3 linked regions of the Caenorhabditis elegans genome follow. The protein of the gene in region 1 interacts with the protein of each later gene in a pairwise test. Each region holds a gene or a part of one and is shown in the gene's direction. Other genes may lie near its edges.

Region 1 (4,155 bases):
ATCTCAAAAGATTGCCCCAAAAGCTCAGATACCCTTGGTTACGTCGTAGTTAATCATAAAATTTTTATGATTCTCGTAGGCTGAAATGGTGTATTATTGAAGCTTGAAGGGCTTCGCAAAACGGGAAATGAGATTTTGTGACTAACGGAAATTAGAGCCCAGCTAGCCGAAAATTTTGAAAAATTGAATATCAAGAGAAATATGTGGAAATTCTTGTTGGAAATTTTTAGGGATAAATATTGTTTTTTAAAACAATATTCGTTTTTTACGCACCAAATAGAAAAACAGAAGGAATGTGACAGAAATGTACAGAGAGGGTTGACTGACTTTGATTATCTTCTGGTATTTTTCCAGTTTTGCAAAGATATCTTAAGAAAACAGTATTAAAATGATTTCCAGAAGTTTCAGCGTTTTAGTAACTTTTATTAAGCAAACCTGTTAGTCGCAGAAAATCTGTCATCACACGTGATCGATGATATCTTTTTTTGTGTTCGATATCCTCAACCACGAATGCTGACTGAACACGTCTGCGAGATTTTCAAAAATATCCAGAATAAATTTTGAAGTAAGCATTGAATATCGTATATTTTCCTTCCAACGCGGCAATAGATGAGGGCGGCGGTGCACATAAAAATATCGCAAAGATGAGAACCATAAAATATTGGCGCTGCAGTTTTTTTGCAATTCGTTCTCTTTTCTTGACGCCCAAATTTGTTGGATCCTATGAAACAAAACGAAGGGTAGTAATGGGTGATAATGTACAGTTCAGTTCTACAGTTCAGAGCTCGGAAAATTCGGCAAATATCGTTTTTTAATATTTGCCGTGCTTAACAAACTAGGAAAATGTGATAATTTTTTATGTCTTTTTTATGTGAGCATTTTTTCGACTGTGGATTGCAGTTGACTAGACAATTAACTAAGTTAACTAAGTTAACTAGACTATAATTGACTTCCGAAGATACTCAAGTCGGTTGGGACAATCAGTTTTTTCTGCACTGATCTGCTTGATGTATCCTAATCGGCTTCATCTTTATCTGAGTAGGTGTGCTGCAAATTTGCCGTTTGCCGGGCTCGGCAAATTTCAAAAAAGTAGATTTGCGGAACTTTCCGAGCTCGGCTAATTATGTTAGGCCGGATCGATTTTACATGACTCATTTCCGTTGTTATCAATTTTTCTATCTGCTGAACAGGTTAACAACCATATGATAAGACGCGTAATGTGCCTATGTAATCATTTATTAAAAACAGTTTTTTGTGTACGAAAAAATTTCAAATAGAGGTGCCTGATTTTTACAAGCTGGATAAAACAGATAGTTCAAAAGTGGTATGATGTATGATGACAACGTTTATAGAATGACTTACATTGTTAGATAATTCATAAAATACTAAACTTTTTGTTTTGTTAGAAAAATGTCTTTATACGTTTAATTTCCAGAATATTTCCTGCACTTTGTGTGCTTGCCTTTTTTGCATACAATTAATTTGCTCACTGTTCACGAGTGCAAGGGACTCATGCGATACGTTTTCTTATGTTTCTCTGTGTCTCTCGTTTCACTCAATTTCTCGCACTACGTTACTCCGCTCTTCCACCCTGCTCGCAGTTTATTTGAACCATTTTCCTGATGTCATGTGTTTTGCATGACTAATTCCGCATAAACATACGTTTTTCTTGTAAATTAATAGATTAAATTATAAAATATTTTTCAGGATGGGTACTAATCAATCAAAACGACATCCACGATTTCAGTCATGCACATGGGATGAATTTTTGGCCGATATTAAGGAAATGAACCGAAAGTATGTTTTTTTGTTAGAGTCAAATTTGGTTGCAATATTTATAATTCATAATTTGAAAAATCAAATATAATTTCCAAATGTTTTAATTTCCTTAATCTTTTTGAAAATACCACTATTTTTTTTATACAGCAACAATTAAAAATTTATAAATAAAAAGGCTTTCCTTAGCGGTGTTCGAAAAATAATTTGGACATAAAGTGTGAAACAATCTTTTCGCAACATTTTTTGAAGTGTTTGCTTATGAACCCTGCACCAAAGATCGGATTCCTCGGAAGTTTCCCAAACATTACGAAATATGGCGTCACGACCTTAACTAACATTTTATTCGTTCAGTTATCGCAGTCTTCTTGTCGAAAACGAGGAGTACTTGGCCTTCGCTCTCCGGAACATTGACTATCAGCGTGAAGGATATGAAAACTGGAAGTCAGAGATTAAAATTCTCTGCTGCAAGGTGAGTAGTTTCATTGTACAAATCGAACATTGAAAAAATAAATTTTCAGGTTAATCAAATGTCGAAGCAAGTGTTAAACTACAAGGAGCTGACGTTTCGCGAGTTTCTCTCCACATATGATCTACATAAGCTGATGATCACCAACAAGGAAAGCCGTAAAAGAAGCGTGGATCCCATGTCGACTAGTCAATTCATTTTGACTCAAACGTAAGTTACACGAAGAAAAAAGTATACACTGATATCGTTATATTTGGAAAGAAAATGTATTTTAATTAAGACTGTTTCGTTAGTAAATTTTAACCTTAAAATTTTTCACAGGTCACTTCAACTTTTTTTTGCAGATCGGATGTCGAGGGTAACTGCGTGATTTGTATGGAAAACATCAACGATGTAAGTTTTCAATTTCGTATTCAAAATTAATTCATTAGTGGGTCCGTACATTTTGTATTTTGGAATCTAAAACCTTGGTAGTGCTCCTCATATTTAAAAACTTTTCTTCTACTGGTTCATTAACATGAGTTTGAGAAAATATCGATCAAGATTTCGAAATGAACAATTATGAAATCCCAAACTTGTTTACTTTGGATAATTTTAAGGCATTTTTCCGCAAATTTTTATCTGTGGATTCATATCGGTAAACTCATTTGAGCTCAAGGAATATTTCCAAAGTTCCAGTTCTCATAAAGAACATATTTGAATAAAAAACTGTAAATAGTAGATACGGAGTATTGAAAAATAAAAATAAAGATATTTTATTTATTTTTCAGTTGCTTCTCCCGTGCCTCCACGCCTTTTGCATCCGATGCATCGCCAACGAAATGGAATACCGCCACGATTTCTCATGCCCGATTTGCAAGACAAAGATCAGAAACCCCATCGAATCATCTTGGGAGGTGCCAGATGCTCCAGACCAGGCTGAAGTGAACGAGTATTTGAAGGAAATCGCCCGTGAAACTTGATCTAAACTATATTCAACTAGCTCCAAATCTCTCTCGCCTCCGCTCACTTTTCCTGTCTGATTTTTCTCACATTTCTCATTCGTTGTTTCTTGGAAAACGTTATTTTTATTTATTCCATTTATAAGTTCAAAACTTACCATAACTCCATTAACGGTTCATTGTTCATTCTCAGCCTTAGCCATTTTTTTTCCTTCTTTCTCGGTTTCGATGTGCGCCTAGCGGTTTCTTGTGAGTAGCTCACAGTCGAATATTTTTTTAGTGGGGGCAGTGCAAATTAGTTTTTTAACTGGTGTTTGGTAATTTCTGGGCACTAATGGTAGAAATTATTTTTGCACTGCCGCACTTCTCAGGTCCAAATTCCAAATGTTTCAACTCATTTTTTTTGTATTCAAATGATGTATACTTTGTTACCATGTAAATATCTGAATAAAGCACGTTCAACCTTTTTAATTATTTCAATAATCAGTACTGCATGAATCCTATTTTGTTATTTGAAATTCTTGGACAACATTGAATTGGGTACTGAAAATGCTTGCCGTGTATTCTTAGATTTACAAAAGCTGGTTTATTTTTTGAAACTTAAACTTATTTAAATTTAAAACATTGAAAAGTTTGCTCAAAACTGCCTTAAAAATAGCAATTCAATTGTTAAAAAAAGAAACTGAACATACTCATCAGCAACATTTCTGTTTCAACTTTTTCCACTAAATCCATTTTGATAATGTTTTTTTGAATGGTTTGCAAAAAAAAGAAACCGAATGCGTTTTTTTTTGGAAAATCGGAATGTTAACCTGAATATGGAAAATTTATATGTAGATTTTTTAAATTTTTTAACACCGTGCAAGCATAATGGAAAAACTAAAAAAAAAAAAATTATTACATTCTTCGTTCAAATATACAATTATGTTTATTGAAGTATTCATATTTCTGTTGCATTGATAATTGGAG
Region 2 (4,693 bases), on another chromosome or scaffold:
GATTATTGGAGAAAATCACAAGAAGGTGGTTGAGCGCATAAAAGCAAATCCAAATCGATGTGAAATGCTTGTGATCTCTGAAGAAGGAGCTAAGTGGTACAATGAAAATAATGTTCAAATCACATTGGACCTTCCAAATATCGAACGAGTTTCTCCAATGGTTAGTCAAAATGTAGATTTTATCTTTACAAAATTAAAAAAAACAATTTTGTGTGACTTTTCTCATTCTCCTAACTTTATTTTAAATTCTAAAATTTTTAACATGTAAGATAAAAAAGTCTTCATTGTCGTGAAGAATGCAATATTCGTTTTTGACAGTAAAATTAGAAACATTTTCCATTTGTCTTATTTCCCTTTGTTGCGCCTAAAATCCCTTATGTTACCAATTGTCAGAGGAACTCCTGTCATCCGTCCAACAATTCTCCCCCGCCAAGTTCGTGGTACGCACCCACGTCATATTCACAGGTCAGTCTTTTTGCCTTTTCACATAATTTTCTCCTTTCTCCACTTTGTTTATTCCTCATTGTTATTTTGTAATTTTCAAACAGTATCGAATATCAAATAGTATAGCTGTAGTTGCTCATTGAGCATCATTTGTTTATTTGACACCTCTAGTTGCACTTGATCAACCGAACTTCGTATATCTACTGAGTCACACTGAACCATTTTTATGCGTCATTTTCATATGTTCTCACACTAAAAAAGGATTGACAAATATTTCGAGGTAGATAGACAGGGAGTCGATAGACAAGAAATGACGTCATTTTAGATGAAAGTTATAGGAACAATGAAAATTAAAAATTGGTAATTGAACCTGGGGAAATTGGAATTAACATTATTAATGGCTATGCAATTTTAGAACTGAAATTTTTAAAAAGTTATACAATATCCGATCTCAAATGAAGAAATGGAAATAAAAATTCTTGCAAAAAAATTGAATAATTTTTTTCTGTTTCATAAATAGTTAAAAGACTTATTCATAAATTTCAAAAATTCGGGAATTGCCTTTTCCGCACAAAAAATGTTTCCTCATTAAGGAAAACCCGTGGTTGGTTTGGAGACTATCTTGAAATTGTAATGCACATATTCTGTCATTCGATGATGCTTTATATAGTTTAGGCGATTGAAATCTGATTAAAACTTTTCTTTAGAACTCCATAAAAATATTTGATTTATTGCAAAAGTTTTGTAAACTTTTCTAAGTTCCTTGTAATATCTAAGTATTGCTAAGACATCATTTCTAGTCATCCACTTGTACTTTCTCTCCTCCAATTTTTGATTTACAATCTGATTCTCCATGCACTCCAAGACGTTCTCAACCATTATTCTTCAAACGGAACAACTTTTCGATGATTCTCGAATCGATGAAGAAACGGACGACACAATAGCGTTGGTTTTGTGTGTGTGTGCCTGTTTTGTATGTTAATATTCAATAAAAATATGAAGAAGATGGAAAAAGACGGGGCAAAGAATTTATGGGCCAAACCATACATATTCTATGCATTGAGGCACGAAGAGGGACAAAAAAGTTATATATCTTGACAAACAAAGGAATACCAAAAAGGCACTTTTGTTTGATTCACATTCCTTGGCTCTTCGGCACATCACTACAGTATTCTCAACTCTTATTCTCAGCTAAGAAATTTCAATTCTAAATCTGCATATTGCCTTCTTCAAACATGGATCGCAATCCATCTGAACCAGAAAGAATAGATTGGAAAAACCCAATCACGTGGATTTCGTATCTCTACACCTCTTTCGTGTACTATTTGTGGTTGATCTCCTCGCATCTACCACATCTCCCACAACCACAACGGATTACCGATGACAAATCAACGGAGCAGATCACCAGAGACGCAGGTATTCCGCGCACTGAGATAGTAACACGAGGAGATGCTACGCAGACAGTTAGACAAGTAGCGGGTCTAGGGGACCCAGCGCCAAAGGATTCATCATTATTGCCTCCCTCTTCGTCGTTCGTCTATTGCAACAACTGTCTAACACCTCATTCGTCTCAGAGGACTTGTTCTCCAGCCTACGTCTCTACTCTCTCAAGACAAAAGTCTTTGACGTTGCTAAAGAAATTGAAGAAACCCTCATCATCTGCTTCTTCCACCACTACCACCACATCATCGACTGTATCTTTCCGTGCACCTTCACGTGCATCATCAACGATCTCCGACGCTTCTACCATCCGCCCATCTGAACTCATTGCTATCGTTCCATCTGGTAGCCACGTGTTGCTGCGAGTTCCGAAACTTGATTGGAAAACTGAATCAATTCGAATCAAAAGAACTAGAATGAGTGATTGGATGGATGCGGAGCAACGGGATGTGATGAGACAATTTGATGAAGTTATAAGATCAGAAGAAGAAGACGAGAGGACCTCACGAAAAAGGAACGGAATCTTCAAAGATGGATCTGTAAGGAGTATTGAATCATTGGAATCTAGGAGTCGGGTGAGCACACGTTGTGATTTTGAAATATCGACTCAAAAATAAAACTTCTTTCTAACAATTATAAATTTAAAAGTTAGAGAATTATCTATTAGTATTGCACCCCCTTACTGTAGGCAGCTCATAACTGATTTTTCATTGATTTTATTATAATTTGACAACTTTCTACTTATAATCTATTTTACTATAATTTTTTAGTTAATAATTTTGTTGATGTCAGCAACTGTCTTTAAAATGAACCGATAGCTCCAAAGAAACGATGGAAAATTATATTTTACGGACCAAAGTTGATCCAAATTTTTTGCTGACAATTGTTCCTGTTTATTCAAAATTTAAAAATTTAAATTACACATTTTTTGGTTTGGGCTATAATTCATCATAAAACCATACTTCTTTAAAACGTGAAATCTCAACTTGTTTTACAGCATTTCAGATAAAATGCACACCGTAGAATTAATTGAAATGGTATTTCAACTGGTTTCTTTTCTTTGTTTTTCATCTTTCCCATACTGGTACGCGTGCCTATCCTTACCCAAATTCTTCAAAAACAATTTGATAAGGATTTCAGTATTTTTTCTTTAAATTGATTAGAGACCAACTTCGCCAAACTATCAATTGGGTACTATGTTTTATAAACTATTCCAACATTTGTTGAGGTATTCGTCATCCTCTTCAACTTTTTTCTTCAATATTTCCATTTTCTCCAAAAAGAATTTCATTTTCATATAAATACGAGTATCATTTCCTCTTCTTCATATTTCTGACTCATCTTTCCTCCATCTTCTCTTGCATACATTTCCAAAAATTTTGCCAACTTGCCAAGTAAACCGCAAACATACGAGAAAACTGTTAAAACTGTGTCTGCACTCTACGCACTCTCTCATTCAGCCTCTTGAAGCTTATGTATGTTTTGTTAAATGTGTGTTGTGGCATTGGCAAGAAAGGAGAGAGAAGGTAGATCATTTTTTATTGAGAAGAAAATGACAATGAAGAAGACAAGTAATAAAAAAATATGTTTAGTGCGAGAGAAACAGAACAAAATGATGATTTATGATCAAAATTGAGACATTAGAAAGTTGGAAGAGGAACTGTAAATTAAATGAGAAAATGGGATACAGAGATATGATAGCAGATAGATTTATGAGGTATTGATACGGAAAATAACATAAATATTGGAAGACTGGCGGACTGGAAATTTGCACAGTTCAATGTTAGGAAGATTGAAATGAGTGTAGAAAAACAACTCAAAGAGGAGTGTAAATTAATCAATAAATAGGTTATTATTTTTGACAATTAACACTTCAATAAATTGTGACATAATTAAAAATATGATGAAACAGAAATAGTTTTGGAAGACTAACGAGTTACCAGCATTCCAGTGTTTAACAGTATATTACAACTCGATGAAACATTCGAAAATTCTAAAATGGAAAATCGATTAAAATTTTTTACTCCTTTAAGAAATCTTGTTCGTAAGCCATATTCTCAGAGAGAACCAAATTCAAAAAAGTTGTCTGACTACAGTAATCCGCAACAATTCCACTTACCTATCATTCGTTACAAATCTTCCTCTTCGTTTCTTTGTCCTTTAATAAATGACCTTCATTTGAATATATCTAATTGGTCCTCCATTAGACACCTTCTTCCAATTGTTTTTTATCCTCCACCTGCCATGTCTTTATTTCAATCTGTCTGTGTCTCGTGCTCTCTCTCTCATTCAATAGAAAGATAGTTAACGAAGCATGACGCATTGGAATATCTTGCTTCACTAAAAGATTGCAACATTCCAATTCTATTAATTTTTACAAAAAACCAACAATCTTCTCCCATTCTTGTCATTTGTCATGTTTAGACACTTTCTCAAGTATTTTACTAATTTTCTTCAAAAAGTACACATTCATCAAACGTTGTATGTTCAATATTCTTTTCCTTCAAACAAACTTTGAATCTCATAAAATGTTTTGTGGTTTCGGAACATGTTAGAAATACAAATAACTTGTCGGAAAACTTTCACAAAACTTGAATTTTATTTCTTGGCATTTCCCAACATTGAAACGCATCTTGTAATCCGATATTTTTGGGACTTGTTTTTTATATTCACTTTTATTCGAAAGAATATCAGAAATAATATACATTAGACTATTTCAAGTGGCGTAGGATATAGGGTTCCTTTTTCCGTCGAAATATTGAAATAGTTCGATTTCGGTTTTTTTTTTGGGTCTCTGAAAGTATTGAAA
Region 3 (3,795 bases), on another chromosome or scaffold:
AGACGATTGACAGAAAAGCTAATTAGTAAGATTTCAGCACAATGGAAAGAAACTAGTGGTGGAATTTGTGTTGCAAAAATATGAAGAGGACACAGTTCGAGTGAAAACAGGAAATATAATAACGGTTTCAGAACCTGATGAAATAGAACCTGAGCCTAATATCGTTATGAAAGCGCTAATGGACAGTTTGCCGAATACCGTAAGTATAAAATAGCTATTGAAAATGTAATTTAGAATTTTCTTATCTAAATAGAAAATGAAAATATCATTTAAAAAGTAAACTCGAAGAAAAAAGCAAGAAAAGATCTCAAAAATGAAGAACAAAATCCGTTGAAACAAAAAGAGAACCGTAGTTTTCAGTTAAAGGCGCACAAAAATCATTTCGTGGCGAGACCCATCACTCGATTTGAATATTTTTCGGCTACGGTTTTCAAAACATTGAACAAACTTTTTAAAATTACTTTTAAAGGCTTTTTTTGTGAACAAATCGTTGCATTTTTTTTCGAGAAAATGGAAAAATAAAGTTATTATAATTTTTGTTCATCTTACAGAATGACCTTGATCGACAAAGTTACGCAGGAACATTGGCTGGTCGATCGTACGGATTGCCGAGTCAAGCAAGCAGATATTCCGAAAAATTGCCAAGTATACCGAGGCGTTATAGCTTGGGAAAGTAAGATAAATTTACAAAAGAAATTTATTTTAAAAAAATTATTTTTTCAGGCTGATTGGAAGAGGAACTCTTGGATCCGTATACTTGGCAGAAGGAAAAAAAGGAGGAACTTATGCGGTGAAAATCATTTCGAAACACGGGAGACATCTTCCTCAAGAAGCCGATGTGGAATATCTGAGTGAGCAGAGTTTTAATATTTTAATTATTAAATAAAAAAAGAATTTCAGGAATGCTGCGACATGTGAGAATCGTTGAATATTTGTACATAATCGAGCCTTCAAAATCAAACGATATTCATATTCTTATGGAATATATGCATACTGGATCATTGCAAGAATATATTGCAAGAACTGGACCTTTGCATCATGAGCTGGTTAAGGCTTACGCAAAACAGGTAAGAATCTCAAAGTTGTAGAAAAAAACTATAAAAATGATTTCAGATTCTTGAAGGACTAGAGTTCTTGCACTCGAAAAACATAATTCATCAAGATTTAAAGCCAGCAAACCTTTTATTAAAAAATACGCATCGCGAAAGGCTCATTAAAATTGCGGATTTCGGATCGAGCAGGTTTTCCTCACTGAAGCGGGAACGTGAAGGACAACAAGGAAGAACTCCAAAATACACTGATCCAGGTGTATCGTTAGGAAGACATGTTTCTGGAAGGCGATCTGATATTTGGAGTCTTGGAGTTATTATAATTGAAATGTATACAGGAGTATATCCATGGTCTATAGATGGTGAACATCCGATTACTGTACCAAGAATTCTCGATGAAAATCCACCGAATTTTACGGTAAAAATAATATTTAAAACGAAAAACATTTAAAATAAATAATTGCAGACAAGCGAAAAAATTGACGAAAATCTGATCAAAATGGCAAAACTTATGCTTCAATCAGTCGCCAAAAGACCATATGCATCTACTCTTCTAGAACTTCCAATTCTTCAAGAATCCTCTGAAAATGAAGATGAAGATTCTGATGACGACGACGACTATTTCTAGATTTTCACCATTTTTCTCAATTTTCTGTTTTACTAATTGCCATATTTCTCTTACATTACACGAGGTCGTTCACGAGGACGAGGTTCTAGTCACTGTTAGTTGCAAACTTGTACATAAAACGAGTATCTTTTGTATTTATTTTTTAAATTGTTCTTGAAGTTAATCGGTTTGATTTTGCCGAATTATATTTTTAATTCAATTTTCACTTTCAAATATTCGGGTATATATTTTCAGAATACAAAATGGACATGCTTAACACATTAAGGGACACATTGAGCAGTGTTCAAGCAGAGTTGAGCACAGGTGTAGAGAAACTTAGAATGAATGTTTCGGCGAACATTGTTGCTCAACAAAAGTAAGTTTTAATCTTGAAAAATGAAAATAATTGTAAATTTGATCGAAAATTAAAGTTCTTATTGTAATTTCACAAATAATTTTCCGATTTCGATCCCCATTAGTATTCACCTACACTTATACACAATTCTAGGTTCAATATTCCTCTTCAAAGTATACATACGCACAAACAGTCACTTGAATTAGCATAAACCATGCAATTGTATTTTTATGACGTTGTTTCATTTCAAAACTGAGAATTTTTCGATAGTTTCGAAACAAATTCTCTAATATTTATATCAAAAACTACGTTTTAAAATGAATTTTTGGAGTTCTGAGTGAGTTTTCTATCCAAAAAAATTTGCAATTGAAAAAAATGCATTTTCTTTCCAGAGTGTCTACCGAATCCGTCAATGAAATTTTGAACACATCAGCTGGAAATGAGTTGCTTCAAAAGTATGTTACCAATCTCGGGAATCTTAATAATAGAAGGTTATCATGATATCTTTTCAGTTTTCAAAATCTTATCACCGAAGTAGAGGAAAATGGAGCCGAAGGGGGTCGTTTAGCGAATCTTTGTAGTACTCGAATGGGAAGATGCCAGCAAATGTGTAAAGAAAAGGCCGATGCGGTTATGGAAATTGATGAGTTCCTCCGAAATTCTGTAGAATTTGACAAGAAGATTCGAGAAATCAACGCTCAAATTTCGAAACTCACGCGTTTCTGCAACCAAACTGAACAGGCGATGACGTATTTGGAAGCTCTGTGCGAAGTTGCTCATACTGAAGGAGAAGTTGATTTAATCCGACAACAAGCCAAATCAGCAGCTACTATTGTGCAAATCGAGTGTGAATCTCCCAGCGTTTTGACTTGTGAGTGATTGAGTGTTTAAATAGTTTTTTCCTATTTTGAATCATAAAACTTTCAGCTGCACTCCGTTCTCGTCCTGAAGATGCCGTTAAGGCTCAGCAAGAAGAAGTGATGCTCGAGGAGTTTCTTTCTTCCAAAAACATGCAGCTTCCATGATTTCATAACTTTTCCTGTGATTCCTCATTTCAATTTGGTCAAACCAACATTCTTCCCGCCCACTTTTACTTATCTTTTCCTCATGCAATAGAACCATTTCGTTCTGTACGTAACGCATATTATCGCAATATTTGCTTTATTTATTGTTCTGACTGACCCATCGCCTTATTTTGAAGCCTTGTACTTTCCATGTATTTATTGGTTTGCTTCAACAGCAAATGCCTGATGTTTTTCTTACTTGAATAAAATTTGAAAATTTAATTTTCTCTCAATCCTTATCAAGTTCTCATGAAGAATTTTATGCAAGAACCTTCGTTCTTTCGCGAAATAAAAAATTAATGAATTGTCCGAGAGGACTTCACAGACTGAGAGTCTGCAAACACCGTGACGCAAAATTGCGTATATTTCGATATAATTCACGCGTGATCGTACCCAGACAACTGATCGATTTTTAAAGCTTTTATTCTTTTCTTTCCGATTGTTTTTTCTTTTTTAAAGGTCTGAAAATTCGTAAACTTTTGTTTCTTTAAAAAAATCGATTAAAAAAACTCATTTTGGGGGGAACGAAACCCATAAGTACCCAAATTTTAAATCAGACATATTTCAGACGCTGTAAGCGGTAAACGCTACACAAAGATAAATCAATGAATGGATAGTTTACGAGGAGTTGAGAGCAGATCAGCACCTGTAGTATTGCATAGGATACGCAGACATTCCCATACAGTGACAGGTGTTCCTATTCCAGGTGAGCCATCCAAT

The links.
Region 2: the proteins of F54B11.5 (region 1) and nrfl-1 interact in a two-hybrid assay, tested with the Caenorhabditis elegans proteins (one large-scale study listed by BioGRID).
Region 3: the proteins of F54B11.5 (region 1) and dsbn-1 interact in a two-hybrid assay, tested with the Caenorhabditis elegans proteins (one large-scale study listed by BioGRID).

What each region holds. Positions count from the first base shown.
Region 1 is NC_003284.9:13,593,621-13,597,775, reverse strand, and holds F54B11.5 (RING-type domain-containing protein), read left to right. Parts: upstream 1-1,707; 5' UTR 1,708-1,708; coding exon 1,709-1,797; intron 1,798-2,130; coding exon 2,131-2,248; intron 2,249-2,297; coding exon 2,298-2,455; intron 2,456-2,589; coding exon 2,590-2,638; intron 2,639-3,015; coding exon 3,016-3,207; 3' UTR 3,208-3,655; downstream 3,656-4,155.
Region 2 is NC_003282.8:9,119,802-9,124,494, forward strand, and holds the start of nrfl-1 (Na(+)/H(+) exchange regulatory cofactor-like protein nrfl-1), read left to right. Parts: upstream 1-1,570; 5' UTR 1,571-1,679; coding exon 1,680-2,459; intron 2,460-3,476; exon of another isoform or gene 3,477-3,877; intron 3,878-4,003; exon of another isoform or gene 4,004-4,075; intron 4,076-4,693. UniProt on the Caenorhabditis elegans protein: Scaffold protein that connects plasma membrane proteins with members of the ezrin/moesin/radixin family and thereby helps to link them to the actin cytoskeleton and to regulate their surface expression.
Region 3 is NC_003279.8:9,934,139-9,937,933, reverse strand, and holds dsbn-1 (Dysbindin protein homolog), read left to right. Parts: upstream 1-1,911; 5' UTR 1,912-1,919; coding exon 1,920-2,032; intron 2,033-2,254; exon of another isoform or gene 2,255-2,328; coding exon of another isoform or gene 2,329-2,348; intron 2,349-2,403; coding exon 2,404-2,466; intron 2,467-2,523; coding exon 2,524-2,882; intron 2,883-2,938; coding exon 2,939-3,036; 3' UTR 3,037-3,295; downstream 3,296-3,795. Other genes in the region: mekk-3 (non-specific serine/threonine protein kinase), read left to right, coding at 38-199, 552-673, 724-851, 901-1,067, 1,114-1,467, 1,516-1,677; epg-8 (MRG domain-containing protein), read left to right, coding at 3,685-3,781.